Linked DNA regions of Struthio camelus. The protein of the gene in region 2 interacts with the protein of the main gene of each other region in a biochemical or structural test. Links are inferred from orthologs where the notes say so. Each region holds a gene or a part of one and is shown on either strand. Other genes may lie near its edges.

Region 1 (7,645 bases), on a different chromosome or scaffold from region 2:
CTACCCTTAAAAACCAAGTATGCCATGCAAAAGAAAGAGCCAGTCTCTCCTGAACTTCCAACACCCTGAACTGCACAGAAGACCTCTCTTCCATCATCTGCATTTCAGGAGCCATTTATTAGTTCACCATTTAATAGTCACTTATTTGTTGCCTGTTGCTCAGCTCAAGAGAGGTGATATCCATCACTTGGTTTTCCTGCAGTAAATCCAATGATTGCATTCAGTAGCAAGAGCATTTAAATCATTTAAAGCAATTGAATCGGAACATTTAAGTCAGTTTATGTTCTTCACAGAAATCCGTCTCTACTGCAACTTAGAAGTCCTCCAAACTTTTGTAATGGATTTACAGAGTTCAGTCTCAAAATTTCCTTCTCAAAACAGAGGCTCTAGAGCTAGCAGCCAGATTCTGTTTAAAGAGCAGCAGATTCATAAAATATAGCTACCTTGTTTCCCAGAAAACATGCAAGCCTTTGTCAGAGCCCATATCCCTCTTAAGGGGCGGTCGCTGCTAGTAGCTGCTTAAGAGCTCCATCCGCTGGCTTCCTCTTTAACTTTGCAAGCAGCCACCACAGAAACTTAGAAGACATTAAGACCATTCTCCCACACGATATACAAGGCTGAATCTGTAGGCCACAAGTTATTAGTTAGCTCAGTTAACTCGTCAAAGGGTTCTCTATACAGATAGGTTTCTACAAAGCCACCTTGAACCCTCACATTTAACCGAATGTTTGTCTAACCTAGGAAGATCAGCTGCTGCACCCAGGGGGAAGAACTAGCTCTGTAATTCTTCAGCAGGAGAAAGCAGCAGAGCAACAAAGTAAGTAGGAATGGTGCAAAGCAAACTTTTTTGGAAACATTCAAACTTACAGTTCACGCGACTGGAGGACACAGACGACTTTCGAGCTGCCTTCCTCTTGACCATTGTCCTGTTGATAGATTTCCGGATCATGCTTTCCCTTTTGCTGGCTAGGGAGTACTTCTCTGCCAACGAGGTCCTGCGAATCATGGAAGGTCTACCCATCAGACTTCTGCGCACAGAGCGACGGCTCAACCTAGAGCCCGTAGGAGTCCCTGGGCTATCCCTTATACACTGGGGAAGCTCCTTTTCAGACCCCTCATTACGCTCTGGCACCTGAGCGGAGACATCTACCTCCTCCGCCTTAGCCTCTTCATTTACCACGACCATAGTATCAGCTGCATTTGCTGTCTTCAACTTAGAAGCGCCCCTTTCTCCTGCATCTTTTGCCTCAGGGGTATGAGGAACCACCAGCACAGAGGCTGCAGGCACAGGCTGCAATTCTGCAGCACTGCTTTCCTTTGGAGAATCATCATTCGGGCTCAAGAGGATGGTTGTAGAGACCTTCTCTGCTGATTTAGATGCGCTCTTCTGCAGGTGTAACTCTGCACTGATGCGATCTTTGACACCAATTTCTACTAAAGGAATCTTCCCTTCTATTGGCTGGACAGAAGGCTTCTTCTCAGTAGGGATCTCTGAGCACTTAGCAGGTGTTGCAGTCTGGGATCTTGTCCACTGCTGAGATGGGGAGATTTCTTCAGCCACAACCCTGATTAGTTCCAAGGTTTCTTTGTTTTGGAGTCTTTGAGAATATCGCTTGGAGGTTACTGGTTTGATACTGCTTTTCCGCCGTCTAGATAATCTAACAACAGAAACGGGGCGTTAGACTGGAACCGGATTCAGGAATAGACCCAAAATTCCTACCAAAGCAGCCCGGTAGCCATTCATTTGCAGGTTAGATACAGCTGTTTTCTGATGGGGAACGTAGTAAATAAAAACACTTTGTTTACATCTGTATTTGTGGGGTGTCTGTACAGCAATTTACTAGTGTTCTGTATAGCACACGCTAGAAATAGCGCAGGGCTTGAAGCACTTCCTGAGATAAATTGGAACGTGCAGGGCAACAAAGCTAAAAGATGTGCAAGAGCCAATACAAGAGCTCAACATACACAGAAAGTAACTAAAATGACACAACCATTTGAGGGAAGAGAGAGCCAGAGGAAGATGAAAGGTAGAGATATAAAAAGAAACTGAGTGACAAAAGTCAGGATACTTACACAGTGCATTGTTATCTGAGAACCTTGATGTTATAACATGCTTAGACCACTAGGTTAATAAGAGCTTTGGAATGCAACATAGTTGATACAAGTACAAAGGAGCAAGTATTAAAGGAAAAAGCGTGGGGAGGAGACCGCTTTTGTGCGATCTTCATTTCTCGAGCAAGTTTTCCCAGGTTTTCAGAAGCTTCCTCGTGTCTTCAGGCTTCCTTCGATGGATCTTTCTCAAGCAATTGCTTTTCGCTTAGGACTTTCTGGAGCCCAGGCAGCACCGACCTCACAGCTTCTCGCCTCGGGCTTTCCACCAGCGAGGAAAGGGTTGGGGGGGTGAGGGGGGGTCCGGCCGGCTGGAAGCGGGGGTCTTCCTTGCCGTGAGGGCCGCGGGCAACGAGGGGACGAGCTCGGGGGCGCTTCCTGAGCACCCAGGGGCGGCCGGGGCCAGGCTTACCTCTTCCTGCTCGGCTCCTGGGTCTCGTCCTGCAGGACGGACAGGCGCTTCCTCTTCTGCCGGTTCCGCTGCGACGGCGTCTTGGGCATCAGCTCCGGCTCGTCGCTGTAGTGGCTGCACGGGGGGGGGGGGGGAGGGGGGGGAAGAGAGACGGAAGGGCAGTGCGGGGAGAGACCGTTAACGGCGCCTAACGGTCCGGTGCGTGAGGGAAGGCGGCGGGGGGGGGGGGGGGAAGAGGGGAGGAAGGTACCTGCTGAACATCCTAGCGGCCTCATCGCGGATCTCGCGCAGCCACACCAGGTCGGTGTCGTCCACCTGCCGTAGTAACTCCGCCAGCCGCCGGTTACACAGGGCCAACAGCTGCGCCGGGCCCGTGGCCGCCGCCATCGCCTCAGCCGCCCCCGCCCCAACCGCCCGTCACCCGCGCGCGGCCCGGCCCGGCCCGGCCCGAATCCAGCTCCGGCTCCGCCTTCCCGCCGCGCCGCGCGCCTGGAATTCAAACCTAACGCTCGCCCACCGCCCCGCCGGCGTCACCGCCCCGCCGGCCTATCGCCTGCGCGCCGCCCCGAGCCCGCCCTTCCTATTGGCTGGCGGCGCAGGCGCGCTCAACAGCCGAGCCCTTCTGGGCGCCGACATCTGTGGTCGTGGAGGACTCCGCCTAAAAAGCGAAAAGGGAGGGAAGGAGTCGAGGCGGCTGCGCGGCTTTAAAGGGGGGGGGGAGGGAGAGGTGGAAGTGATGGGCAGAGGCGACCGCCAATAAGAGGCTGGGCGGGGGGGGTGGGACGTGCGCTCTGATTGGCGCAGGCCGTGATGACCTCAGCGCGGAGGTGGGTGAGAGGGGGGAAGGGCTGTGGTTGTGAGAGGGCGTTATGCGGTGAGGCGCGGCCTGTGCCTGGGCGGGAGCTGCCTCCCCTCAGGGAGGGCGGGAGGGAGGCGGTTGGGTCTCCTCGGCGTCGAGGCCGGGCTCCTCAGGGCGCCTCGGCCTTGCCCTCGTGCCTGGGCTCTGAGGAGGAGTGTGGCGGGCCTGTTCTGGCTTTGGGGTGCCAGTGCCTTTTCCCCCCCCTGCCCTGCTGTGTTTTAGGCAGGCCATGGCGGAGGCTGATGGCCCCAGGCGGCTGCTGGAGGTGTGTGGGCAGAGGCTCTCCAGGTTCCTCCACGACGCCAAGCACAAGCACTTGGCCTGGCTGCAGCAGGCTGAGGAGCAGGGCATGAGGCTGCTGGATAGGTAGGGGCTGCCCTCGGAGCTGGCCTCTTTTCCCTCTCCTAAAAAAAAAAGCTCCCTGTTCTCAGCACTTTCAGCTTCCGTTCTCCTCCTGTAAGCTTAATCCACGTGCCCTGGTGGCCTGCTGTGAGGAAAGTAGTGTTGCCAAGTGGTTTGGTGTGTTGTGTGCCTCTGTTTGGGACCTTGGTGGCTGTTGCACCTCGTTCACCTGTTTCTCACCCAGCTGGCCTCCTTGAGCGTGTGTTACTTTGCGGATGGCCTGGTTGGCGGGTGGGGAGCAAGGGAGGGGAAGGCCATCTTGTCTTTCTTGCGTTTGCCTGCCCAACAGCAACTTTGGGGCCGAACCTGAGTTAGTGCCCAAAACGCCGTCGCAGAGGAGGCGTCCCAAGAAAAGGCAGTCCTCCTCTCTCAAAGATGAAAGCAAGGAGCCAACCAGGAGGAGGTAGGTGGGTCGGTTCATGTTCTGGCTCTGCTGCGTGGCTGTAACCTTCAGCAAATAGGAAATGAAAAATAAACTTTTAAGGGTGGAACAAATTGAATTGTAACCCCCCCCCCCAAAAAAAAAGCTAGTTTATTTTCCTGAGTTAATAAATATACTTAGATATGACCTATCTAGTTCCAAAATAGGTCAACTTTATGTGTTTGTTGTGAATGTTTGGAAGACAGTTGCTGGGTTTCCTTCACTTTCCTTTTTTTCTGGTTAGAAACAAAGAATAATAAATGTTTGTCTCTATTTTCTCATTTGTTTGGGGTTTTTTGTTAGGTTACTTGATTTTTCCAGCATGCCTTGTGGCCTGAGGTCGCTCCTGGTGTTCACACCCTGAATCTTTGTATTGGTGCCTGAGAACCTGTGAATGGAACTTGTTACCGAATATGTACAAAAATGCCTTGTCTCCTCTGTCATATCAGTCACTAGAAAACAAACTAAAACTTACTATATGGAAGACCTGCTTATCTTGGGGGGTGAGGGAACCGTCCTCTCGACGACAGTTGTCTGCAAATGGATGCAGAGGCAAGATGATGTTGGGCAAGATTTAACTGCAGGTATAATCGGGGATGGCTTTGATGCTAAATAGCTTGCCTGATGCCACTGCTTTGTAGTAACTAGCTGTACGTCTGCCCATCTCCTGGTCTGTGGCAAGGTAATTAAGGTAACCTTCCCCTCAGGGAAGAGTGTGCTATGATCTGAGAGTAGACACGGAGACAATCACTGCAGTGTGACCAAAACCTACTGATCCGACAGGCATTAGTAAGCTGTTTGTGGTTGTAAGGCACTGAGAATTTGATAACCATGGTGAAAAAGCCCACAGGAGTTGGGCAGGAAGGGTTAGAACTGTAAGATTGTCAAAAACAAGACATGGAGGATGGGGAGAAGAGCAAGAATAGTAAGGAAGCGTGGGAAGTTCATGCATGCGTGTGGTTAAGGAGGGCAGGAGAGGAAAATGTTGAAGATCTAAATGGGGAGAGCTCTTAAAACATCCTGTTAGTTTCCAAGTCAAATGTGGCAGCTGGATTGCTCCTCTAAAGAAGACAAATCTTCCATACGTTTCTCCTCGTTTAAAGTTAGTTTTGCAAAAGCTCTCCTCCTGATAGGACAAAATGCCTAAAAGGATGGTGATCATTTGCCAACAGGAAGTTCATACTGAAGTTCAGCCCTTTGCACTATATCCTGTGGGGTCAGGCGACTGTTTTTCCATTGCTCTCTGTTCTGCTCAGTATGTCTTTTTTTTTTTTTAACACATTTCTTTGTGCGTTTTTAACTTCAGATTTCCCACTTAACAGTCGCTCCTTTTTGCTAGAGGTCAAAATAAGAAATTTAAGAGCCCAAGAGTGGACTGAGGGCAGCAGGTATCAGTTTGAATATTGGTTGCAGGACAAGTCACTGCCGGTTTTCCACCAGTGACCATGAAGCCTTGTTAATTTAGCTAGGTTATGACACAGTGGGCTTTCTTAGCCACGTTTTCCACCTGACGTGCACTTTCATGTTAGCTCTCTGTTGTGTTTTTTCTGATCTCCACCCTTTATGTAACTATCACTGGGTTTATTTGGCGCTGGAGGCTTTCTTTCTTTTGATTGTGCTGAAATCGTCCTTTGCTTTTTATATTGGTCCAGCTGATCTCCTCAACTTGCTGATCAAATGCATGGTTCTGTCCTCTCTTGGCGACTCAGTGCAGGCGAGCGGGATTTCATTGCCGGAGTTCCCCAAGCCTCTGCGTAACTAGTCAGGATTAACTGAAGCAACATAGCCGGAGAGAGTTACTGAGCCTGATATTTTTTCCCCTTAAATTACAATAACTTAAGAAACTTCTTAGAGTCGTAACTATACATGTACATTTTTGCTGTCTTCCTCTGGATTGCGCTGTCAGATACCGCATGTGTTGCGACATCGCTGTTTCCCAAGCTGATTGCAAACTCTGCATGTAGAGCAGTGAATGTTGTCTCAGTGCTTGGGCCCCTGCCTCCCCAGTGCTTATCTGTTTTACGCTGGGCAGTCTGCTAGAGAGCAGGGTAACCTGCTGTTCCTAGGCGAGATTTACTGGGGAGATTTCCACGTAAAATTGATCCTGGGAGACTGAGTTGTATAAACGTTCCTGCGAATCTTCAGCCCAAAATTCCTTCCTGTCTGGTTGTGCTGTGTGTATTTTGTTCAGGGCAAACAGGATGGGTTAAGTTGTACCTGTCTGAACATACTGTCCCCTAATGTCAGCCCCAGCTGGGGCTGAGGGTTACTCTGTGCACAGAGCAGTGAGCGTCCCGGTACCTCAACCGCTGCAGTTTACGTCCATGTGATACAACCTTTATTTGTGAGTAAATCCAGCATGCCAGGCTGAAAGCGGGCATGGTTGCAGTAAGACTATATATGTCCTATGGCACAGAACGGTAACATCAAGTAAAAACATCTTGCAGGCTGTGGGGAGCAGTAACTTCTGAATTGTTGCAGCTAAACCTGCCAGAGCACATCTGGGAGCTCACATGGTTGATTGAACTGTGATAAAAGGGGGGGAGGAGGGGGCAGAGGGAGGAAGCCAGTCGGCTCATTTTGAAATTTGTCTCCTCTTTGCTCCAAAATCATTTGGGAGTGGGAGATTTCTGCATCACTTGATAACGTTATTGTTTTTATCTAAGGTTGTCCAGAAGGAGAAGCAGCGTCAAGCTAGTGTCTTCCAAGCCAGGTTGCCAGAAACGCCACAGCAAAGAGCAACCCCCGAACCCCAGCAGTCTGGGGGAAGAGGTGTCCACACCCGACCCTGCAGTAGGGTCTCAGGCCAGGGTTAAAACAGAGCTTCCAGCACCGCCAGTGGCGCTGACTGGGAAATGGCCAGCAGAAGCGCAAGTTCCAGTGGCAAAAATGGATTGTAGCGACTTCCCTCAGGTCGAGTTAGGGAAGGGAGACAGGGCCAATATAGGACGTGGGGCCGGTAAGGCTGTCGCAGGAGAGCGATTGCCCACGGGGGCTGGAGTTACTGAGCTGCCTGATGTGTCATCTGTCACTGTGGTCCCTGGTGGCCAGACAGCAAGGGAGGGGGAAGAGACCCCCGGAAGAGGAGCAAGTACCTCCACTCCCAAGGCTGCTAGAAATGGAGATCCTGCCACAGACCAAGGAAAGTGGTCTCCTCAAGGCCTAGAAAACGTGCTTTTCCGGGACTCTGACAACAAAATGACCGCTATGAGAGCCAAAACACGCCGTTGCTCTGGGCGCCGAAGCTTTGTGGGTGGCCCCCACAAAGGCTGTAGGTCCTCCTTGGCAGAAAAATATTCACTGGCCAGCAAAAGAGAGAGCATGATCCGGAGATCTATCAGCAGGGCCATTTCAAAGAAGGCAGCAGCTCGAGAATCATCCTCTGCCTCCAGCAGAGTGAGCTGTAAGTTCCTTTCCACTGTTGAGTATGCTGGTTTGGCCA
Region 2 (8,613 bases):
ACATACTTCTGACAGGAAATGCAGGTTTAGTATATGCTTGAGTGGCCAAACCCAGCTATCTTTCTGACATATAAGCAGGCAAACAATCTGTAGTGATTGTCTTAATTATTTGAAGACCCACGACCCACTGTAAAGACACAGGGATGTTATTTGATAACAAAGATTGACTTGTCCAAACTAGCGTCAGTAACAAAGAACTGACACAAGAAAACACAGTTCAAGGGTACCAAACATCACCCTCATCCTCAACAGTCCAAATCAAAGCACTGTATTGCTGTGAAAATTAAGGGAAGCTGTAACAAGTGGGAAAACTGCAACTTTTATTCACATGGGATACTGCTGATCATTTGGTATGTATCTAAGCCAAAAAACCTCACCTTCTAAATTGCTACCTGATAACTTTATTAGAAAAAAGTGAACATGAATAAATATGAATTCTGTGAAACAGTAAGCTGCGAAACACACAGCCACTGGAGGCTGTAAAGGTCAAAAATGTAAGTGGGTTCAAAAATAAACTGTGTTCACACAAGACAGCAATTATCAACAAGTATTAGAAGAAGTGTCTAGAAGCAATTTCTGGCTCAATTCTCTAGACAGCTGCCAGAAATCACACAAGTATACTTGCCCTATTTCTTGGTCCTTTTCTTCAAGGATACTTTATGAGCTGCTGTTGGAATAGGAAATATGGTGAGCACACATTTGGTCCAACCCACTGGGCCAACCATAAGTCACAACACTTCAAAAATTCACCAAGTAGCTATGATTCAAGTGATATTTTACCTCAATAGGCATAGCACTTTTGGCCAACATTCTCTCTGTATCAAGAATTTTTATTGAGGCATCAGCTGATCCTGTAGCTATTAACTGTCCATCTCTGCTATATGTAGCTACACGACATGGTCCTTTATGAGACGTGACATAACAAGTTTCGTATTCAGAAGCCTCAGGAGACATGGTCTGTACATCTGCATCAAATTCTAAGTCAATTCCTGTGCCTGGAGCTACTGTATCGGACCGCCCAATTGCATATTGAACAGCACTGTCATCGTTCTCCATTCCTGAAAAGAGAGAAGTTGATGTACTTAAAATATGCTAACTTTCCCCATAGATGGATAGGCTGTGGCCAGATCTGTGCTACAGATTTCTCTAACATGTATACGAGGCAGGTGTTAGAAGAGATAAGCCCCTACTCAACAAAGCCAGGCTAGCAGAACACATTATACAGCAACACTTCTCACGAGAAATGAGAGCTAACTTGGCTACACTAGAGCACAACACGCTCTAGCAATTTTAGCTTTGTAATTTTAACCCTGGAAATACAACCAGCAAATATAATATTATAGTAAGTACTGATAAATGCACTAATAATCACTTTGGGAAGCCCTGGACAGACCTATTGCAAGCTTTTCTACAGAACGGAGAATCAAATCTCAACACTCTTACATGAGATTTAAAGTTAAAAACGGCAGCATTTACTAAGCCTTTTAGATTTTTGTTTTACTGGATCGAGGGGAAAAAAACCCATCCCACAAACCACCTCAGCATTGCTAATAAAAATCATTACTTCTGTTCGCACCCACCCTTCAGATTTAACTTTTTGATTTCCATCATGCATCTACAGGATAAAGACAGTTCAGCACTGGAACTCGTAATAAGGCAGGATGCAAGAATTTTCAGCTATGTGCCTAACTGTGCTCATCAACCTATCACAGGTGATAGAAAAGTTTTCATTGCTTTCATCTACAAAATGACTCTTGTATTCTTATTCCAGACAGATATAAAGCTTCATATATTTAAACCCTTGGAGCTCAACTAGTTCAGGCAGCAGAACCAGTTCAATTACAATACACAGAACACATGCAGCTATGTCCAGGCCTCTTGTTTTAACAGCAGCTCAGGTATTTTGACTATATACTATGGCACAGATGTACTCTCAGAGAGAGAGAGAGAGAGAGAGAGAGAAAATAGGCTGTACCCTTGCTGAGGCCCTAGAACATGAAGCTCATTTTTAATGAGACCAGTATATAAAGGCTAATGAACATGGCCTATGGAAGGGCTTAGTTCCTTTCCTACGCTTTCAGTGAGAATGATATTGAAAATTTTTCTACCATTGACAGAGAACTGTGAGGCTCACCCTACTTCTATTACTTCTGCAGACTCAATGATCCTGTTTACTGAAGCACATTTTTAGAAAGTTGTCAGTCACCCAGGACCCTGGACAGGTAATCTCACACGCTACAGAAGTTCAAACAAACAGATTTTGCCAACAGTCACTGATCTGTTTTGCATCCAGTGCATATCAAGAGAACAAATACACATGAAAACGTTATGGTACCGCTAAACTTAAGCTTTGCATTACCCAAGTACTCTCAGTAACATTAAACTCCTACCCCAAACGGATTTAACTACAGATCTAGAAACTGAACTTTTTATGATTTTTTTTATTCTAGCTTACCTAATTTAATTAGGTGCAGCAGTTGCTCAGATGGTGCACAGACTGATTGCGGTTTTATCTCATTTATCAAGCCATTGGCAATATTTATGTACCCATCATATAGCAGCTGACTAATGATTAGTTTATAAAGTTGCTGACGATCTTTCAAGCTGACTTTTGTTCTATACATTGTTAGCAAGGAATGCCTTGGAGGGGCCTGAAATAAACAAATACAAGAGAAAAATCACATACAAGAGCATTACATATAACAACTATGACCGTTGCATAAAGTACCTCCTGCTGAGCTTCACAGTAGGAGATCATAGCTAATGCTATCATGTTTCAGGTAAGATTCAGTATTAAATAGACAAAATTAAAAAATATAGGAAAACATAAGAAATCTGTTGCACTTATTTGCTGCAGAAATGAAAACATTGCCATTAAGTAAACGTTAACCATATTAAAGAGCAATAAAGAAAATGATGCGGTGAAAAAAAATCACAGCATTAGTTAGCAAAACTATCCTGTCAGTGTCTTTCATTTAGCCTCGCTAACACCAGCAGACAGGGGGACCTGGGCACGCAGAGCTAGGAAGATGATTAACAGAGAGCATTTTGACTTCCCTGCACATTAGCCACCCTAACACATACGTTCCCCCCTTTCATCCGAGGCTTTCACATCCTCTCCACACCTCCTCCCAGCCAGCACACGCTTCTCTTCGCCCTCTACACCCTCTCCCAGCCTCGAGTAATAAGACCAATAACCAATTTCGGGGACCAATAACCAGACAGGGAGGGGGCGTGGGGGAAAGGGACTGAATGAGGGCGGGGAGAGTGCTCAGCCGGAGCACAGCGGTCACAGGGAGCAGGCTTCAGACACCGGGGGCGGACAGGCAGCTTCGGGTGGGAGCTGCAGAGGACGAAACCCGGCCAAGGCAGCGGAGACGAAAGCAAGGGAGCGCCCAGAGCAGCGCCGGTACCTACCGACCCTTCCTTCTGCCTCCCTCGCTCTCCCCCTAAAATGGCGACCGGAGCCCTGAGCGCATCGATTGGCGGCGGCGGCGGCAGGGGAGGAGGTGGCGGCGGCGGCCGAGAGCGAAGAATGCTCCTCCGCGAAGGCTGCTGCATCGAGCGCCCGCAAATCGATTGGAGGCGACTCTTGAAGGAGAGAATTGCAGCATCACGTGACAGTGACACCACGCGCGCGCCCGGGCACTGGCAGGTCCCTCCGTCACGTGAGCGGTGACGCGCCAAGCGCGCCCCGAGCGCCCTCGGTGGGGGGGGGGACGGGGGGGAGAATGGGGGGCAGCGATGGGGCGGCCGGGGGGCCCCTCGGCGGCGTCTAGCGCGACCCGCCCCGCGGAGGGCAGCGCCCCGCCGGGAGAAGGCGCAGCAGTGTTCCCGGGTGGGATGCGGGAGGCAGGCCTAGGTGACCTGCGTGGGGGAGCCCCCTGGAGCTCAGGGCCGGGTCTTAGCAGGAGGGTGCCTCGTCTCAGGAGACCCGGGGCCAGGATTCTTTAGCGTCCCAGCTGCACAGCTCTGAAACGCTGCTTCTGCTGGGACACCAGTATCCCAAGCACGGGGACATCCACAGGGGCTAAAATAACAAAGTTTCTGGCATTGCTGCTCTGTGCTGCAGGCCTCTCTGATGAGTTCGACAACTTGGGCAGCACAGTAACAAGCACCTCACGCTGCCACACTTCACGGGCTCTCAGCAGGCTGAGAGCCTGTCCCAAGCGTACAAACACCACCCTCCCAAAAGTCCTACTCACGTCAGCCTCAAGAAACGGAAGTCGAAGTGGACGCGGGTCAAGGAGGGGGGATGCCATGCTACCCATGCCCCGTGGGAGCTGTCGTCTATCACATGCTGCAGCAACGCGACGACCTGACATCTTCTTTTTACCTATCCTGTATCACTTGTAAGAGCCGACACACCAGACTCGCCTTTGCGCTTGTTCTCAACGCTGCACAGCCAGTAAGAGTTGTCTTCAATCACGCTTCTTCAGAGGCTCAACGGACTCAAACTGGTTTTGGCTGTCGCTTGCCACTCAGTGGCCTGGGTCCTCCTCACAGGTGTGAGTAGGACCACTTGGGCAGCTGGCCACTGAGACAACACAACAGCCCCAAGCTCCTGTTACGCTTGCGCTCACAAACTGCACTGATCCTCCACTGTCACCGCTGTACCGCTGCCGCTCTGTGTCTCTTCAATACCTGCCGGGCTTTGGAAGCTGCCAGCAACCGCACGTCACCACTGGTGTAACACGACGGTCTGCTTTCCCCTTCACGCGTGTCTGCTGGCTGGTGAGGGTACCTCTGGCCAGGCGTCACCTCGCGGGCTGTGCGGTGGCGAGTGTCCCCTTCGCGCTCGTCCTCAAGAGCTCACGGCACGTGGAGCGCTGCCCTGGGCCGCACGTCCGGGCAACGCGAGGCAGAGGCCTGCTTCGCCCCTCTGCCTGTCCTGCGGGTCCGCCGGGCTAGGCAGCTGCCACCCGTGGCACCTTCCTCGCTGGCAGGACACAATGGCCCCGAGCCCCACTCACGCTCGGCTTCACGCGAGGTGGCAGCACAGCCTCTCCCTCAGCCCGAGCCGGAGGGTGCGTGTGTGGAGGAGGTGAGGGAAGCGGGTTCGTGCCTCACAGGATGCAGGACTAACCTGAAGCCCTTCCCCCCACAGCCGGCTGCACGCTCTGAGGCCTCAATGGCTGTGAGGAAGGGATGGTAGTTGTAGCGTTGCCACAGGTGGGTGGTCTGGACATACGCGATTTGCGTAACGGAAGACCCGGCCAAGCAGAGACTTGCGGAGAAAAGTGTGTAAACGGGGCGCCGATCCACGCACTTGGAGTACGGAAGGAGCCAGCGGCGGAGAGACGGTACGTAAAATACGCATGTAGCGCAAACACCGCCCTGGGGGCGGGCGAGTTGGCCCTACGCGGGATACGCAGCAGGCTGCCGTTGCGCATGCGCCCCAGAGGCTCACCACGACGAAGCGCAGCCTCGCAACGAGCGGAGCGTTTGGCGAGCCAATGGACGGGCGGGTCGGTGAAGAAGGAGCCAATCAGCGGGCGCGGACGGCGGGAGACGGGCCAATGGAAAGAGGCGGTAGTTTAAAGGGTATTTAAGGGAGGGCGGTTTGAATTCAAACAGCGTTGGCGGCCGGAGGGAGCCGAGGCCGGGGGTGAGCGGGCGCCCGGAGCCCGCGGCGGGGATGGGGCCCGGGGCCGTGTCGCGGAGGGCCGAGCCCGCGGGCGGTGCTGCCGGGAAGCGCAGGCTGGGAGCCGGGGGCAGGGTGCTGCGGCGCGGGAGCGCAGGCCCGGCCGCAGAGGCCGCCCGGCCCGCGAGGGAGCGGAGGGGCGCAGGCGGGGAGCGTCGGAGGGGAAGATGCGAGGCGCAGCGCTGCCCGAGGAGCTGGTCTGTGCTAACTGTGCCTCACGTGTAGGCTAACCTATATGTGCCCTTCTCCTCAGGCATCATGGACAAGAATACTAAAGAGAACCATTCTGGACACCATAGCTATGCTGCTAAGGTAAATAACTTGCTAGGTTGATTGTTCTGCTTTCTGTGATCATACAAGAGCTATAGACTTAAAACTGTGGTGACTACCACAGTTCTAAATAGTAAAAAAGGAAATTTGTCTTGAAGTAGCATTTCCTGTTTGCCAGAAACAAATTCCTATCTTTATCTTTCAGCTTCTCTTTTGGAGAGAACATTGCTCAAGGCTTGTTTGCCTTCTTGCTAGTATTGATATGTCATTCTCTAATTAAAACACTTTCCTGGTATCTTGCATATAATCTAATAGCCTTTAACTGAACAGCAAGTGCATGTGGGTAACTTATTCCAGATATGGTTTCCAAAAGCAAGTATTGTGTTAATGTCACTATTAGTATATCCATGTGGAGAGTGCTCAAGATAATCCTGACTGCATTATCTTTGCATACAGATACTTTCTCATTCTTTTAATTTAGAAACATGAGGCTTCAAAACTAGCATGAGTAAAACATATATATATATATATATGTTAATCAGGCTGTCAGTACACTTTCACTGAACTGAACCAGAAGATTAAGTAATGTCTAGGGGGAAAAAGAAGTAAAAATTATTACATAGGTATCATTAGAGGGTTTAAAATAAATGTGAGAAGCTAATTAGCAATATTTGAACTGAATTTTAGGCAAAGTATCCTAGAACAGCTAAGAATGGCTGAAGTATAAGCCTTAACTACCTGTAGCTTTCACTCCTTGGAAGGAAAAGATTAAAACCGGTTAACTAAAAATTACAGAATAAACTTTGTTCTGCTGAAATCTTCTTATGTTGCAAGGCAAATTAAGATGCATTCAAGAGAGCAGTGATTCAAAACAAAGCACAGTAGGCAAGTGGTAGGATTTGGAAGCAGGGGTCTGTCAGTCTTGCTACTGTTGACTGATACTCTTCAGACTTATGTGGAGTTCTTCCACTTGCTATAAGTGAATATGCTGTCCACAAGAAAATGTCAGCAGAGTAGTCTATAAATCAAATTTATCCTTAAAGCCTATGATCAGAATATCCTAACACCTCCCATTAGTGTGTCACATTCCCCTTTTACCCTGTCCCTAACTCATATATATGTTGTTTGAATGAGGCCATAAAGATTGTAGTATGCTCTTCCATAATTAGAATATCATGTTTTCTTTTTGAAGACTGTAAATCCCATCGGGGATGGCCCAAAACGTGTCCCTGTGCCTCAGCATTCTGCTCACAGCCGGTTACTAAGCAGTGGAGTCCAAGCACAACGTGTTCTATGTCCTTCGAACTTGGCCCAGCGAGTTCCTGTACAAACGCAAAAATCTGCACTGTCAAACCAAAAACTGTCCAACAACCAGACAGGGCAGCAGCCACGACCAAAATCTCTGGTCCAGCCAACTGCTAGGCCTCAAGTTCCAAGCAAGAACAATGAAAAACCTCAGCAGGCTCCAGGATCTGGTAATTAAGATGATGCATATGTGGTCAAATAGTTGTGACACTTGGGATGCTTCCATTCTATGAAGCAGAGTGCAGTACAAGAATTTTGAAGCTGATCTTAATGATATGTGGGAGTCTTGTACGGAAATATCTGGCTGCACCCAGAAACAGAATTGTAACGCTTGATCTTGGATGTTACTGCCAGGATTGCATGTTTAGAACTAATATGGGTGTTTCTTTGCTCTTGAAAAACTTCCAGCTACTTATTAGTCAACTGTGAATTAAAGAAATTGGCACTAATTCATCATGATCTTTATTACCAAAGATATTAAAATGAATAATAAAGTGCTGTATTGATGGTGGTGGGGAGGCGGGAAGCTTCTAAACATTTCTCTTGACTTAAAAAAGCTTTCTTGGAATTACATCTTGATAGCAGTGTAACTCAACTGCTATGCTGCCTTGCAATAGTAAGTTTATTTTTTAAAATATCACTGGATGGAATCTAAGAACTGTTGCTGATACTACACTGAGATTGTACTTGTTCCCCACATGCATTTTTTTGTACTGTGCTCATGGATTCGGTTCATAAGTTTCCCCTTATTCATATATAGCAAAAAATACTGAAGCAGAAAGCACATCTAAACAGAAAAATGAAGAGACCACTAAAAAGAAAAATGAAGAGACAAAGAAGTAAGTTGTTGTGTTCCTAAATGCTCCTAAATGCTAACAGAGCCCCATTTAATTAGGCTTTCTTTTAACTTCTAGGACTACATGCTACAACTAAGGAAATTAGCTGTAGATAAGTTCTAGTTAAGTACTCCAGCCCCTTGATTGAGAACAGTGTCCCAACACTTCATAGCTATAACATTTCTTAATGAAACTCTGGGAAAGCTTACTTGGACCTGAAAATTCTCAGGAACTGGAACTCCCTGTCATCTAAAGAAAAGCTTTTTGCTAAAAGATAACTCCCATAAGATAACTCTGATAAACACTAATCTAGTCACAGGATGTACAATTGAAAAATATGCCTCCTTCGTATGTGCAAGAGGTTGGAATCTGATTAGGGATGAATGAGACTCTTAGTATGGCTAGCTCTAAAACACAGTTCTGACATGCATTAGTAAGTGCGTGTGTATTAACTGTACTGAAATGTGCCTGGCTTGGTACATGCAGTTTTGACTTTTTTGCAGTAACACGTGGCTGATGTTAGCATCTCTACATGTAAGCTTTAAGAAGGAAGAGCCC
Region 3 (7,641 bases), on a different chromosome or scaffold from region 2:
TAACTCCTAGCACAGAAACCTCGTAACCCTGGTGGCTGCAAGGGAGCAGGCAAAGCGTTATGGAGGAAAGCAGGACTGAAGTCCTTAAAGCAGAGTGAAGCACAAGGCTGAGCAAAGTAATAGCCACACTGGCAATTTTAAAGCTCCTGGAGAGAAAAGTGACAGTAGACTTTTTCTACTGCTGCTGGAAAGCACCTCCGAAAGGAAAAAGCAGCTATGCAGGAGACAGGGGCCCTGCTAACAGTGCTGGTAGTGTCATAGAAGTGGTGGGAGTCCCATGGACAGGTCTGGAGTCCCTCAAAAATGGGATGGGCCAAAGGCAACTGCATTTTGAGAAGTGCCAAGAGACTGGAGCGAGGGAAGCAAAGCAGCTTTTCCTGGGAGGAACTGGATGCCCACACTGATTGCAATCATTGCACCCTCCCAAGCCAGCATTCCTTCCTCCCCTGCTTTGACGCATAAGCAGGAGCAACACAAAGATCAAATTCAGGAAAGGGCAGAAGGGTTTGCATTGGGGATATGGTGTAATACTGGTCAGCCAACCAGGTTAACAGCTTTTCTCAAGAGGAGACGTTAAGAAAAGTTTTGCTACTGAAACAGGTCAGGTTTCCCCAACTCTCACTAGGATTCAGGCCCTCTACTAGTGCTGCAGCCTCTAAAGTTAATTTTATTTATTTAAAACTGTGCTGTAAGTGCCAGTGGTCAAGAAAAAAAAAGTAGCAGTACCTGCAAAACATCAGCTACTTTTTAGTTTTACGATTGTAGGAGGGGCCAGGAATAAAGCCTACGTGCCATTTTAGGTCCTGCACAAGCTCTGAATATGCAGCACTCTTGTCCCTGACAAGGGCCCCCAGTCACCAGCTGAGCCTTTTTGAGGGCACACTACTGAATGCAAGAAAGTAAGACTTAGTACAAAGGAGTTGAGGTTAAATTTTTTATTTAAAAAAAAAAAAACACCACTATTCAATTTCAAACAATTATATTAATGTAGCTGTCTTTAAAAGAAGTGGTATGGTTGTAGACCAACTGCTTAAGGGTACTCTGGTTCTGAAAGCTTGTAGCATAAATAAGTTTTCCATCAATATCATAAAATAACTTATTATATATCTTAGAATATAAACTTGAGAATTAACATCCCAAAATACAATAAAATTGTGTGTAAAAGTGTTTTGATTAACCTTTTTGCTCTTTCATGTTTAAGGTACTTAAACCAGAAACTCTAAGTTGCACTTTAAAAAACCATTAAGGGTGTTGGGTGTTTTAAGTAACTCAGCCATACAGTGTCTCAGCTTTTCCGGCAGGCTTTAATTCCTTTAGCAGCACAAAGGCTGCTCGTTCAGCTTCGCTTCCGTGTTCATTCCCATCGCTTGCCAGCTGCGGAGTCACTTTTCTTCAGTCCCACACAACATGTAGATTGACTTCAGTCTACCCCACTTGACTTCAGTTTTATTTATTTATTTTTTTTCCTCCTGTAATCCTTGTGTCAGGGTAGGGAGTTACTTCCTGAGCAACTGCTAAAGCATTTCAAAACTTCAGTGCAATTGTGTTCAGCGAGTTTCCATCCGGCTGCTATCACCGCTCGGGAAGGTTAATCACAGGGACCCACTGATCCATGTAGCGACTCTCCCGGCAGAAGCACATCAGCTGACTCAGCGCCGGGTCCTTCCACTGGGAGGCATGGGGGTGCTGGAAAAAAAAGGGAGAAACGGGGCTGCTTTAAGAAAAACGACCCCCACGAAGACACAAAGCAGAGAATCCAAGACTTCACTTATCTTGAATTAGAAAAACAAGGAGAAAAGCATGCACAAAGCCTGCCGTGCATCCTTGAGCTCACACTCAGATGACAAACAACTTCCCGAGCCCTTCACAGGCAGCTTCTCCCGATCCGCCCACAGGACGCCCCCAGCCCCTGCACCCTGAGCAAGGGCTCGGGGGAGGGGGGGCCTGCACCCCCTAACGCTCCCGCTTTACCTGGCGACCCTCACGGCAACACCCAGCGCCGCTGCCTTGCGGGGCCAGCGAGGGGCAGCGGAGGAAGGCCCGGGGGTGGGACGGGGGGGGCTGCTCACCGTGACCAGGACGCAGTGGAGGTCGGCGGGCGGCCCGGCGGCGCGCAGCAGCTGCGCCAGGCGCGCCGGGTTGCTGACGCGGAGGATGTTGATGTCGTTCTCGCAGCAGAAGGCCTGGAGCAGCGTGAAGTGGATCTGCAGGGCCACGTCGCGGCCGTCCTCCTCGTCGGCCGCCAGCAGGCACAGCACCACGCTGTCGGCTGCCCTGCGGGACGGGGGAAACGCCGTCGCCTCAGACACCGCCGCTGCCGCCTCCGCCTCCCCCCGCCCCGGCCCGGCCGCACTCACACGTTGAGCAGCTTGGCCGCTTCGTAGACGCCGATAGTGATGCTCCGCTGGCTCAGCGCCTTGCTGAGGACCTCCTCCAGCGCGTCGCCCACCGCCTCCATCCTGCCGACACAGCCGCGCTCAGGACCGGACCGGACCGGACCGGTCGCCGGTCTCCGGCCCCCGCCGCCCTCCCGGCCGGCCCTACCTGCCGGCGGCGCCGCGGTCCCCCGGCAGCTCCTCCAGCGTCATGGCGAGCGCGTCCCACCCGCTCCGCGTCCCGCCGCCGACTGCACCGCCCGGCGCCCCGCGCGCTGGACCCTGCCGGCGCCCGGCCAATCCGCGCCGGTCACATTTGCATGAGCGCCTTCTAATTGGACCATGCAAATGAGCTCCGCCCCGCCCCCCACCGCCTCGCCTCGCCCCGCCCCGCCCCGCCGCGCCCGGCCGCGCGCCGGCAGCCTGAGCCTGTTGCTGCGCGCGGCGGCTGCTGCCGGCTGCGGCGGGTGGCGCGGGCGGGCCGTGTGGTGACCGCGGCACCCGGCCTCGTGTGTTGACCGCGGCACCCGGCCTCGTGTGGTGACCGCGACACCCGCTGTCGTGTGGTGACTGCGGCACCCGCTGTCGTGTGGTGACTGCGGCACCCGCTGTCATGTGGTGACCGCAGCACCCGGCCTCGTGTGGTGACCGCGGCACCCGGCCTCGTGTGGTGACTGCGACACCCGGCCTCGTGTGGTGACCGCAGCACCGGCCTCGTGTGGTGACCGCAACACTGGTGTCGTGTGGTGACCGCGACACCCGCTGTCGTGTGGTGACCGCGACACCCGGCCTCGTGTGGTGACTGCGACACTGGTGTCGTGTGGTGACCGCGGCACCCGGCCTCGTGTGGTGACTGCGACACCCGCTGTCGTGTGGTGACCGTGACACCCGGCCTCGTGTGGTGACCGCGACACCCGGCCTCGTGTGGTGACCGCAGCACCGGCCTCGTGTGGTGACCGCAACACTGGTGTCGTGTGGTGACCGCGACACCCGGCTGTCGTGTGGTGACCGCGACACTGGTGTCGTGTGGTGACCGCGGCACCCGCTGTCGTGTGGTGACCGCAGCACCCGGCCTCGTGTGGTGACTGCGACACCCGCTGTCGTGTGGTGACCGTGACACCCGGCCTCATGTGTTGACCGCGACACCCGGCCTCGTGTGTTGACCGCGGCACCCAGCCTCGTGTGGTGACCGCAACACCCGGCCTCGTGTGGTGACCGCGGCACCCGGCCTCATGTGGTGACCGCGACACCCGCTGTCGTGTGGTGACCGCGACACCCGGCCTCGTGTGGTGACTGCAGCACCCGGCCTCGCGTGGTGACTGCGGCACCCGGCTTCGTGTGGCACCCGGCCTCACGTGACACCCAGTCTCAGGGGGTGCCTGGCCTCGCGTGGCGCTCAAGGCACCAGGCTTTCATGAGGCGCCGGGCCTTGCGCGGTGCCTCTCCCCGCGTGGCGCGTGTGACTAACCGTGGCTTAGCCAGGGAGAGCACGTCGACTGCGCCTCCCCTCCTGCAGCGGCTGGCGCCCCCTCTGCAGTAAGAGTGCTTGGCCAGAGCGTCTCTGCATGCGCCTCTGCATGCGCCGCCCACCGCTTCCAAAACCTGCTTTCCCGAGTAAAGAGCGGTGAGCAGGGGTAAAGCAATAGCTCCGACTTGTTTTATTCAGAGCTCAGCTACGAAGCGCACAGCCGGTAAATCGCCCTAAAGCGTTCTTCGTAACGCACCAAAATGCATCTCTTCGCTCGCCCTCTTCTCAGGACCGAGTCTCCTCCTAAAGGTCCCATTTGTTAAAGCAAATGATTGATGTAGGAAATGCTGATTCACGCAGCAGAAATGAGAAAACTTTGTACCGAGACGAAGATGGGGAGGGAGTGTCCAAAGGTAGAGCTTGTCAGGGCTGGTTTGGCCATTAGCCACGTGCTCGGGGGAACACGGCCCCGTTTCTAAAAACTTGAAAAGCTAAAGTATAAAGGTATGCCCCCACGGATGTGTCTGAACTTGCACTTTCTCTGAGAGGAGAGCTTACTTAGCTGAATTTGCTCACCTGCTTTTGCTGTGTGGTTTCTCAGGAGGAGAGCCGAGCCGTGTGTCGGAGAAGCAGTGGCGCCTTAGCTCTTGTGTCATACAATGGGCAACACCTATTCAGAGTGAACACATCATCTTAACGTCCCCACATTAATTTTCTTTTTTTTTTCCCCTAGGATAGGCCAAGCCCAAGGTCTTTGGCTCGTGGCCAGCCAAGCTCCAAGTGACACAGTGTTTGCCTGCTCCTACTTCAGCGCAGGTACTTCATTTTCCACCATTTCCGTTGTGAGTCAGCGTTCCAGACATCCCTGATTTACAGTGATAACTGGGAGACAACAGCTTCGAGCATGGTCTGTACCCTCAGACAGAAGTCATGGGAATACTGCCACGTAACGTTTAAGTTGTGATCAGGTACGCACTTACTACAGAAGTCACGAATCTTGCTCTGGCTTTCTATTCAGTGAGGGAAAACAGGATTTGTCTAGGAAAACTGCATGTCTTTCTGTACCAGAGCATTTTAAGAGTATTTGGATCCTGTCACGCATTAGGCCTGCACAGATCACAAGGCTGGCTTCAAATTCACAAATTCACAATTAAGATGAAGTTTTCTTTTTTTCCTTCAAGCATAAAGATTGCATCCTTATTATTCCTGTTTCAATGAAAGCCAAGGCACTCAGGAAATAACCTCACTAGCTCTTTAAAACCTAAGCACAACACATTGCGAAATATCTAGTACAGTCTTTAGCATTGGCAAGAGTGAAAGCAATATTTTGACTTGTGGTTTTCAATAAGAATGTGATAAAGTGGTCACTTGGCTTAATGTCATTAAAAGAGGTTTTTACAGTGTACAGTAGTATAGCTGTAGCTGCATTTAAAAAGTGCCAAGAGTAAATTGAGGAAGGCGGGCGGGAACTGCGTACTGCAGATAGCGTCTGTCCTGAGTTGCACAATGTGACCTAACCTACAGCCTTGGAGACAGTCTGAGATTCTGGGTACGCAAGTGCTGAGGTTAATGTCCTGTGCATGTTATCATCCTTCCAGGAACTTGGGAGTCTTCCTCCAGTTTTTTTTTTTTTTTTTAAAACAAGCTCCAAGTTTCACGTCTGCATTGTATCTTGGGACATGTTTTCTGATCTGTATGTGTTGTGACGTCTTTTGTTGTTTTTGAATTACCTCCTGCTTTTCCTTCATAAAAAAAGTCAGAAGCTTGATGAGACCTTTTCACCAGAGATTCTGAGTGAAAGCCAGGTTCCTGCCCTGAAAATGTCTGTACCCCCAGACATCTGCCTTATAGGACATACTGCTGCTTCTTATAGTATTTGGGACACTCTGGTGGTTATCAGTGTTGGACCCAGGGGAGGTAAATAAGGCAACAGAGCCTTAAAATACGTGCTTTGTTTATAGTAAACACTGTAGTTTCACTTCCAGCCTTGCTGGTAAGGAAAGGTGACATGGCATATTGAGAAATACCACAAGCTTCAGCGACAGCTTCAGGAGCTCTCGTCTCAAACTCTTACGTCAGAGCTACAGGACGGATGGTCTGCCCCAGGCAGCCAGAGGCAAAAGGCACATCAAAATGAGCGACTTCTCTACTTTTCAGCAAGATGTGTTACGTTGCTTGTGCTGCAGTAGTTACAGGTACCTCTAGCTTTTGGGGCTGGAAAAACCTGTTGCTCATAAGTGTATTTTTTCTGAAGCCAGAGCTCTGCCTGCCTGCAGACACACTGGAGCTGGTGAGGCGAGCGCTATCAACAGGGAAGGCAGCCTGGAGAGCAGTGGGGGGCCCGGGTCAAGACTGTGGGGCTAGTCCAGGTTGAGGCCACGGATGCTGCAGACACGCTGTTAGCAATACCCACGCTAGCTTGTTCACGGCAAGCCTGGATACGTCCACTCCACGTGCTGGCGTATCGCTGCTGAGTGAAGGGGAAGCTCAGGCCATGTTTCAGCTGAGTGCCATCCTCTGTAGGAGTGGAGAGGAGACAGAAGTGGTTTCAAACAACCTCTGAAGACTTTGAGGGGAAACAAATCCTTTCCTTTCAGGTCGTTCGTCCATCTGTTTGTGCGGTCGTTCAAGGTCCGTTTGGGCTGTGGTGCCAGCTGCAGAAAGGGGTGGGTTCCCTGCAAGGCAGGATGGCTTGGCTCCCTGTCTCGTTAGCGCTGGCCAGCACAGCACATGCCCTGCTTCACGCTCTACCGCTGTTCAGACCAGTGCTGTGTCTGCTTATGTGTGTTTGGTACAACATTAGATCTTGAATGCAACTAATGCTTACTCCCAGCTGTTGGATACCACATCACTAGAGGCAGGTCGCTCCTGCAGATGCAGAGGGGACAGTCTAAGGTGGCTCTGCATGGACAGACAGGTGGACGGTTGGTGCACCGTTAGGCTGGTTGGTACGTGGGCAGTGTCAGCCCAGGGACTGAGGATCTTTCCAGATGTAAGTAGTGCAGCAGTGTAACTCTGGAGCATGGCTGGTGTTTCCCGACAGCTAAAGCTCTTCATGCATCTTTCTGGTGTAAGAAGTGATTCCCTTGGTGTCTAGTTTGGCTCATGTTAAGCCACGTTGTAATTTTCCCGTGAGTCACAGGCATTACAGCTTGTGTTATTAATTGTAAGAAATACCTTTCTTGACCATCGTGTGAAGCCTGTAATAGTCACAGAGCTGTCCTGATTTAATGCAGCAGCAGCTGGGACGAAGGTGTTTTACCAAAGTCACCAGTGTACCAGGCTGTGCTAACTTTGTTATCAAACTGTCTGGAGTGAGGTTCCTGCCCGAGAGCGTGCGTGTATGTTGCTTTGCTGGTGGCAGCCCTGTTGTAAAAGTTGCCCGTGATCGCTTCCCACTGCAGCTATCTCTGATGGGGGCAGTTGTAGTGGACTCTTCTCATCCCCTGCTATAGTGAAGCAACATTTTATTTGTGTCAGTGCTGTAAGACTGTGCTGTTTCTAGGTGCTCAGGCTTCTTCCTCTAACGCTGACTTACATAAAACTTCAGAGCCTTGCAGAACAAACCTGTCCCCTCCTGTGGGCTGCACTGGCCAGGCGAGCTGGCTTTTAATGGGGCAGACAGCGTCTTCACACGATGCAGTCACCCTCAACAGGATTTCCAAGCGCAGGATTTAACTTGGGGTTTCTCTTTGAACTTGCTTTTGCTGCCATATGGTCCAGCTCAGCCTGTAAGACCTCCAGGGGAGGGTTTCTTATAATCAGAGCTGTGTCAAAGATCATGCTTTGTCAGCTGTT
Region 4 (7,594 bases), on a different chromosome or scaffold from region 2:
ACGGTGCTCGGAAATAGCTCCGTGCAACTGGAGCTAACGCGCAACGGCCAGGGGCAAAAGGGGCTTCAGACCCCTTCGCCCAGGGAAAGGGAGCCGGCAGACACTAATTACGGAGGCATAACTGGGAATTGGAGGGTTTTAGCCCTGCTCTTGGCACGCTCAGCCGCCAACCCCGCCGCTGAGGCTCTGCTACTCACCAGACGCCGACGGTGACGCCGGGCTCGGTGGTGAGATACAAGCTCACCGTGTTGTTCAGCAGCAGCTCCGGCTGCCGGAGGTCCACGAAGTAGGGGAAGGCCACTGCGGGAGAAGGCACAGGCGCTGCCGCCGACCCCGGGCGCCCCTCGCACCCCCCCCCCCCAGCCGGCTAATTCCCAAAGCAACGCGTGTCGCGCGCCAGCCTCCGAAGCGGGTGGCGTTTTTTTGGAAACACCTCCGGCCCCCGCAGAAGACGACGGCTGTTTTGTTCCCGGCTTCGGGAAGCGGTTCGGCCGAGCTCAGCCGCCCGCCAGCTCCCACCGCCGGCCGCTCGGGCCCGTTGGACGCTCTGCCTGCCCAGACGTGTTGCAACTCTGGGCAGCGAACGTCCTCGGCAAAACACCGCCTTGTTACAGCTTGCAAAACCGCGATGCACGAGCAGCAGAGACCCTTCCTTGCGTCGTCGACGGGCTGCGAGGAGCTGCCGTATTTTGCATTTCCTGCGTGTTCCCCTTGCTCCCGGCTCTGCCCGGGCGCCCGCCCGCGCCGGGCTGCGCTACCCCGGTGCCGCCGGGTGAAGCAGGGAGCTCGGGGCGGACCGAGCCGCGGGCACAGACGTCGCATGCAGCCCAACCCGGGCTTCGGGGGCAAAAATCAGCAGTGCAGGTCCGCGAGCTGCAGGCTCCCCGAGCCGGGCGTCTTCCTCGCCGGCTGCTCTCGCCGCCCTGCCCAAGCCCGGGGCACCCGGCCCGACCGGCCGGGCGACAGGGCTGAAGCAACGCTGCCGGCTCCCACGGCGCCCGCTGCCGCGGCCGGGTCACCTCCCGGCTCCGCGCGCCATCGGAGCCAAAGGGGTCCCAAAGGCTCGTCGTCGTCGTCCGTCCCCCCCCCACCACCACGCCAGACCGCGGGGCACCGGCTGTCCCGCGGCCCTGGGACACTCACGGAAGTTCAGGAAGACGAACTTGGTGAGGAGCACGGGGAAGAGGCGGATGAGGAAGGGCACAGACACGTAGATGAGGACAAGGTCCACGAGGAGGGTGCGGAGCCGGGGTCGCCAGGCCAGCCAGCCCCTGCAAGGCAGAAAACCCCGTGAGCGCAGCCCCTCCGTCCTTCGGGGGGGGGGGGGGGCGGACACACCGCAGTCGGGGTCCCCCCCTTCCCAGCCCCTGCCAGGAGTTTTGCAATAAAGAGTGAGCAACCCTGTAGGGCAGCACCCAGAGCCGGTGCCGGCGAGCAACGCTCCCAAATATTTCCCGCCCGCGCCAAGAGCCTGCGCGACTCCCCAGGGACGAGGAGAAAAATCCAGCAAAAGGGGCTCGGGTTCGCCGCAGAGAGTCAGCAAGCACTTAGGTAAAAAGTGGCGGCGGCGGCCCCGAAGGGTCGGACGCGTCACGGGCTGCCGCGGCCGCAGCTCCGCAGGCGACAGGGAGGCTCGCGTCCGACCCTTCGGGGACGCCGCCGTGCCCGGAGCCGCCCAGAGGCGGTGAGGGGCTCCGGAGGGGGCCGGTGCCGCTGCGTGCCCAAGGCACGGGGCCAGCGCTGCCCGCGGAGTCACGCGCTTAATTATTAGGTGCCACTCTTCATCTACACTTAATATGCAAACACGGGGGCGAGGGATCACACCCTGCTTTGCACAACGCCTGCTGCAACCGCGCCGAGGGGCACGGGGCAGGGCCGGGGTGCAGCAGAGCGGGGAGCCGGGGTGACGGCACCCGGGGGGGCAGCAGAGCGGGCAGCCGGGGAGATGCCTCCCGGGGGAGACCATGGGGACACCATCCTCGGCAGCTGGCACAGGCCTGTGGCCACGGCAGGGCACCGGCTGACACAGGAACGTGTCATTGGGGGTCATGGCCACGGCAGGGGGCATGCACAGCAGGGACCTGGCCATGGACAGGGGGACACGGGGACATGGCATGGGGGTCATGGCCACGGCAGGGGGCATGGACAGCAGGGACCTGGCCATGGCAGGGGGACATGGGGACATGGCATGGGGGTCATGGCCATGGCAGGGGGCATGCACAGCAGGGACATGGCCATGGACAGGGGGACACGGGGACATGGCATGGGGGTCATGGCCACGGCAGGGGGCATGGACAGCAGGGACCTGGCCATGGCAGGGGGACATGGGGACATGGCATGGGGGTCATGGCCATGGCAGGGGACATGGACAGCAGGGACCTGGCCATGGCAGGGGGACATGGGGACATGGCATGGGGGTCATGGCCATGGCAGGGGGCATGGACAGCAGGGACCTGGCCATGGCAGGGGGACACGGGGACATGGCATGGGGGTCATGGCCACGGCAGGGGGCATGGACAGCAGGGACCTGGCCATGGCAGGGGGACATGGGGACATGGCATGGGGGTCATGGCCATGGCAGGGGACATGGACAGCAGGGACCTGGCCATGGCAGGGGGACATGGGGACATGGCATGGGGGTCATGGCCATGGCAGGGGGCATGGACAGCAGGGACATGGCCATGGCAGGGGGCATGAGGACATGGCATGGGGGTCATGGCCATGGCAGGGGGGCCCAGTCACAGCAGGAACGTGGGGACATGGCAGGGGGGTCATGGTCACAGCAGGGACATGGGGACATGGCATGTGGGTCACGGCTACAGTAGAGGGCACGGTCACAGCAGGGACATGGGGACATGGTGGGGGGGTCATGGCCACAGTAGAGGACACGGTCACAGCAGGGACATGGGGACATGGCGGGGGGGTCACGGCCACAGTAGAGGGCACGGTCACAGCAGGGACATGGGGACATGGCGGGGGGGTCACGGTCACGGTAGGGGACACGGTCACAGCAGGGACATGGGGACATGGCATGGGGGTCATGGCCACGGTAGGGGACACGGTCACAGCAGGGACACGGGGACATGGCGGCGGGGTCACGGCCATGGTAGGGGGCACGGACAGCATGGACTTGGCCATGGCAGAGGGGTCACAGCCATGGCATGGGGGACGCAGCCATGGCATGGGGGACGCGGCCATGGGGTGACAGCCACGGCAAGGTGACAAGGCCACGGCAAAGGGGACATGGGGACATGGCCCCAGCTAGGCCATATGGCCCCGGCAAGAGGGACACGGCCCGGGGCAGGCGGTGGCACCGCACCGGCGGGGGGGGACGGGCCACCGGGCCGCGGGCTCGCACGTGGGGCCCGGCGCCGCGGCAGGTACTCACCGCTCCTGCGGGGCCGGGGCCGCCTTGGCCTTGGCCTTGGCCGCCGCCTGCCCGCCGGGGCCGCCGCCGCCCGCCGGGGCCGCCGCGTCCCCCCGCTCGCCGCGCCGCTTCATCGCGCCCGCACCGCGCCGCGCTGCCGCCGCTCCGCCGCCGCGCCGCCGGCCCCGCCCCCTCCCGCCAGGCCCCGCCCCCTCCCGCCGCGCTGCCGCCGCTCCGCCGCCGCGCCACCGGCCCCGCCCCCTCCTGCCAGGCCCCGCCCCCTCCCGCCGCGCTGCCGCCGCTCCGCCGCCGCGCCGCCGGCCCCGCCCCCTCCCGCCAGGCCCCGCCCCCTCCCGCCGCGCTGCCGCCGCTCCGCCGCCGCGCCACCGGCCCCGCCCCCTCCTGCCAGGCCCCGCCCCCTCCCGCCGCGCTGCCGCCGCTCCGCCGCCGCGCCGCCGGCCCCGCCCCCTCCCGCCAGGCCCCGCCCCCTCCCGCCGCGCTGCCGCCGCTCCGCCGCCGCGCCGCCGGCCCCGCCCCCTCCTGCCAGGCCCCGCCCCCTCCCGCCGCGCTGCCGCCGCTCCGCCGCCGCGCCGCCGGCCCCGCCCCCTCCCGCCAGGCCACGCCCCCGCCCTCAAACCACGCCCCCTACGCCTCGCCCCCGGGGCCGCGAAGACTCACCCCCCCCTCCCAGCGCGGGAGGCCACGCCCACTCCCCCTCCCGCCCCGCCCCTTTCGGCCTGCAGGGGCGGGGCTAGGTGGTGCCGCCGGGTCCTCGGGTGCCCCCGGCCGCACGGCGGACGAGAGAGGCCGGTAGCGCCGCCGCCGCCCTCGGATCCAGGCCGGGCTGGACTCGGCCTTTGCCCGGTGAAACTTCCCGCGGGGACTCCCCCCCCCCCCCAACCCCCGCGCCGCTTCCTTCCTTCCCCGTGGCCGGTCGGTGCTGAGGCCGCCGCAGCTCAGCGCACCGATGCGGCCGGAGCGGCGGGACCTGCGGGGTCAGGGGAGAGCCGGCCGGGGGCCGAGGGTGCCCCCACGGGTGGCAAAGCGACATAAAGGCGCCTGGGCCGCGGCGGAGGCCGGACGTGGGGTGGCAGCAGCGAGCCGCTCTCCCCATTGTTTTGTGCAGAAAAACCACAAAGGGGGAAAGTTTTTAGCTTGTTCCAGCCTCGGCTTCTTTGCGCCCTTCCGCAGGCGCAGACGGAAGAGAAGGAAACCGGAGGAGCCGGGCCGAAAACCCAGGCAGGGATTTGTCGTCGTCGTCGCCCGCCGCCGCCCCGGAGCCGGATTTGGGGCGGAGGCGCAAGGCGCAGCCCGGCCATCGCCTTCTCGGGGCTGTTTGTGCGGGAGGAGGAGGAGGAGGAGGAGGAGGAAGGGGGGGGCCGCCGAACAAAGCGCCGGATGGCTGCCGCTGCGCGGGGGCCTGAACCGGGCACGGGAAAGCGGGGCCGGGGGGGGGTCCGGGGGGGGTCCGGGGGCCGCCGCGTGTCGGAGCAGCAGCAAAGCCGCGGAGAAAAATGGCAAACGCGCAAAAACGGAAGCGCAAATTGCCGCGGCCGGCGCGACATCTGGCCAGGCCGGGGCCGGGGAGCAGGGGGCTGCGCTGGCCCAGCGAGGGGCTTCGGGGGGGGCGGGGGCTGCGGGCGGGGGGCCGGGACGGCAAGGAACTGGGGGTGATGGCAGCCGGGGGTGCAGGACGGTGGGGACCTCAGCAGTGCCACCCTGGGCTGTAGGACAGCAGGGAGCTGGGGTGATGCCACCTTGGAGGGCAGGAGAGCAGGGACCACGGTGATGGCACCCGGGGGGGGCAGGAGAGCAGGGACCACGGTGATGGCACCCGGGGGGGGCAGGAGAGCAGAGACCACGGTGATGGCACCCGGGGGGGCAGGACAGCAGGGAATATAGTGATGGCACCCAGGAGTGCAGGAGAGCAGAGACCACGGTGATGGCACCCGGGGGTGCAGGAGAGCAGAGACCACGGTGATGGCACCCGGGGTGCAGGAGAGCAGAGAATATGGTGATAGCACCCAGGAGTGCAGGAGAGCAGAGACCACGGTGATGGCACCCGGGGGTGCAGGAGAGCAGGGACCACGGTGATGGCACCCGGGGGGGGAGGCAGGATCGCGGGGAGCCGGGGGACGCCGGGCGGCGGCGGGGGGGGGGGGGGGGACCGCGGCGGTGCCCCCGGAGCGGGGGCGGGGGCGGCGCGGCGGCTCCGCCCGGCGGCGGCGGCGCACAAAGGCCGGCGGCCGCCCCCGCCCGCCCCCGCCGCCGCCGCCCCCGCCCCGGGGCCGCCCAATAAACGCGGCCGCATTTGAACCGGGCGCCTCCCCGCGAGCCGCGCCCGGCCGCGGCGCCCGCTCCGCTCCTCTCCGCACCGCTGCGCACCGGCAGGCCCGGAGCCCGGTGAGCCCCGGCCGGCGGCAGCGCCCAGCCCCGCGCGGGGGGGGGGAGCGCCCCGGGGTGCGGGGTACCGGGCCCCGGGGTGGGGGGAGAAGGAGCCGCGGCCCCGGGAGCGCAGCCCGCCCCTTCCCGGCAGCCGCGTGTGCCGAGGGGGCAGCGGGGTGCGTTGCTGGGGGAGGGGGGTGTTTTGGGGAGACGTGGGTGCTTTAGGGTGTTGGGGGGGGGAATGCTTTAGGGACGGGGCGCCCCCGTGGGTGCGCTGCGGAGGGGCTTCGCGGGCGGCGCTCCCGGGGGAGCGGGGCGCGGGGGGGGCCCTGGTGGCTGCGGCCCGGCCGGTCCCTTCCTCCCGGGGCTCCGGGGGGGGGGGGGGGAAGGAAAAAATAATAAAAAAAAGAGACTTTTGCCAAGCCGTCGGGGCCCTTCCCGTCCTGGGAGAGGGGCTTCACAACACCCCGGCCCCCAAAACGGCGGCGGGCGGAGCCGCGGATGGGGGGCCGTAGGGCGGCGGCGGGGGGGGGGTGAGGTTATGGGTGCGCTCGGCGCCCCCGGCCCCCCCCCCGCCCCCGTCGGGGGGCTCAGCCCGGCCCTGCCGCCGGCACCGACATCATGGCGCGTTTCCAGCCGCCCGGGACGGTGCTGGATAAACCGGCTTTTTGCTTTGTTCGCTTCCCAAATAATCCGCTTTTGGGGGCGGGGGGGGGGGGATCTACCTTGGGTTTTCTCCCACCGGCTTCTCGCCGGCCGCCGAGCAACATCCCTTGCAGCACCCCGACAGATGGGCGCATTGTTTTTCCTTGCTGCCGGGAAGGCTCCTTCTTGAAAGGACCCATTACAATGCAAATACCGAGGTGTCGTGAATATTCAAAACGCTGCCCTTCTCCTTTTTTTTTTTTGCTTTTTTTTTGGGGGGGGGGGGCCGCCCAGTTGCATAAATTTAGCGTGTGCTTGCCCTGCGGCCCCACGCGTGGCTCCTGCCCCCCTCTATCAACGGGGGTTGCAGATCGCTTCCAAAAAAACCAAAACCGAACCACTAAAAGCGTGTTGTGCTAATTGCATTATTTCTGCTTGGTCATGCTACTTACTGACCAGGTAATCCGCACCTTCGTTAGTGCTACGCTGAAGCTCCAAGGCTGCTATTGATTGAAGGCGCTAATTACCACTTAAGCCTATACTAGCCGAGTTAAATTTCGCTTAGTGTTCAGTGACGGCCGGGCCGCTGCACCTTGCGGGCTGTGAAGGTGATCGGGCCCTGCGCAGAGGGCAGGCGCAAAGGCGGCACAGAGCCGCTGCGGAAAACTTGCTTCCCTCGGCGTCCGTGGGCCTGGGCGCTCGGCTCGCCCCGGGGAGCACAGAGCGCTCGGACTGCCGCAAACGCCTGAGGGGCGCTTGTAATCCCGAGTCGCTTTCCTAGGCCTGGCGCTTTGTTTTTCCTCCTGGAGAAGTTTGCAGAGGGGTTTTGTGCTGTTGAGCTTGTTGCACGCCTCTGCGTTGGGTTTCGCTGGGAAGGGGCGTTTCCAAGAGGTGCTGTTCCCCCGGTACCTCCAGAAGCCTCCCGGGGGGGGGCCGCGAGCGGCTTTGCCCCCGTTTTCCCGCGCCGGCGACCTCGTCGTTTTCGGCGCTCGGGGGTGAGTGCGGTGTTCCCGCCGCCCTCGCGGGCTCCCCCCGGTACGAGCTGGGGGTGTTTAAGCACCACTGGATAACTGGGACGGGATTAGGCATCTCGGGGGACCCGACGTTGACCAGCTGCAGGTAGGCGGGCGGCATCCCCTTATTTATCCGTCTCCTGAGCTTTTTACATGGGGAAGGGTGGAAACCCTCTCCCGGGCT

What was found.
Region 1: the proteins of AURKA (region 2) and INCENP form a complex in vitro, tested with the Homo sapiens proteins (3 studies listed by BioGRID and IntAct, with this or other methods). The link is inferred for Struthio camelus from reciprocal best matches to the Homo sapiens genes AURKA and INCENP.
Region 3: the proteins of AURKA (region 2) and GADD45A form a complex in vitro, tested with the Homo sapiens proteins (2 studies listed by BioGRID). The link is inferred for Struthio camelus from reciprocal best matches to the Homo sapiens genes AURKA and GADD45A.
Region 4: of the proteins of AURKA (region 2) and NIN, one has a biochemical effect on the other in vitro, tested with the Homo sapiens proteins (2 studies listed by BioGRID). The link is inferred for Struthio camelus from reciprocal best matches to the Homo sapiens genes AURKA and NIN.

Annotation. Positions count from the first base shown.
Region 1 is NC_090946.1:7,624,640-7,632,284, reverse strand, and holds the start of INCENP (inner centromere protein), read right to left. Parts: upstream 3,159-7,645; 5' UTR 2,909-3,158; coding exon 2,772-2,908; intron 2,636-2,771; coding exon 2,522-2,635; intron 1,659-2,521; coding exon 868-1,658; intron 1-867. Other genes in the region: inner centromere protein A, read left to right, coding at 3,610-3,746, 4,072-4,185, 6,870-7,606. UniProt on the Homo sapiens protein: Component of the chromosomal passenger complex (CPC), a complex that acts as a key regulator of mitosis.
Region 2 is NC_090959.1:12,393,742-12,402,354, reverse strand, and holds the start of AURKA (aurora kinase A), read left to right. Parts: upstream 1-5,513; 5' UTR 5,514-5,608; intron 5,609-5,897; 5' UTR 5,898-5,902; coding exon 5,903-5,956; intron 5,957-7,106; coding exon 7,107-7,389; intron 7,390-7,979; coding exon 7,980-8,058; intron 8,059-8,613. Other genes in the region: CSTF1 (cleavage stimulation factor subunit 1), read right to left, coding at 781-1,058, 2,456-2,651, 3,418-3,591, 4,206-4,325. UniProt on the Homo sapiens protein: Mitotic serine/threonine kinase that contributes to the regulation of cell cycle progression.
Region 3 is NC_090949.1:37,060,184-37,067,824, reverse strand, and holds GADD45A (growth arrest and DNA damage-inducible protein GADD45 alpha), read right to left. Parts: upstream 2,682-7,641; 5' UTR 2,589-2,681; coding exon 2,545-2,588; intron 2,460-2,544; coding exon 2,358-2,459; intron 2,275-2,357; coding exon 2,070-2,274; intron 1,687-2,069; coding exon 1,573-1,686; 3' UTR 921-1,572; downstream 1-920. UniProt on the Homo sapiens protein: In T-cells, functions as a regulator of p38 MAPKs by inhibiting p88 phosphorylation and activity.
Region 4 is NC_090946.1:80,847,984-80,855,577, forward strand, and holds the start of NIN (ninein), read left to right. Parts: upstream 1-4,137; 5' UTR 4,138-4,231; intron 4,232-4,482; exon of another isoform or gene 4,483-4,606; intron 4,607-5,663; exon of another isoform or gene 5,664-5,770; intron 5,771-7,594. Other genes in the region: protein ABHD12B, read right to left, coding at 198-300, 1,144-1,271, 3,389-3,501. UniProt on the Homo sapiens protein: Centrosomal protein required in the positioning and anchorage of the microtubule minus-end in epithelial cells. May also act as a centrosome maturation factor.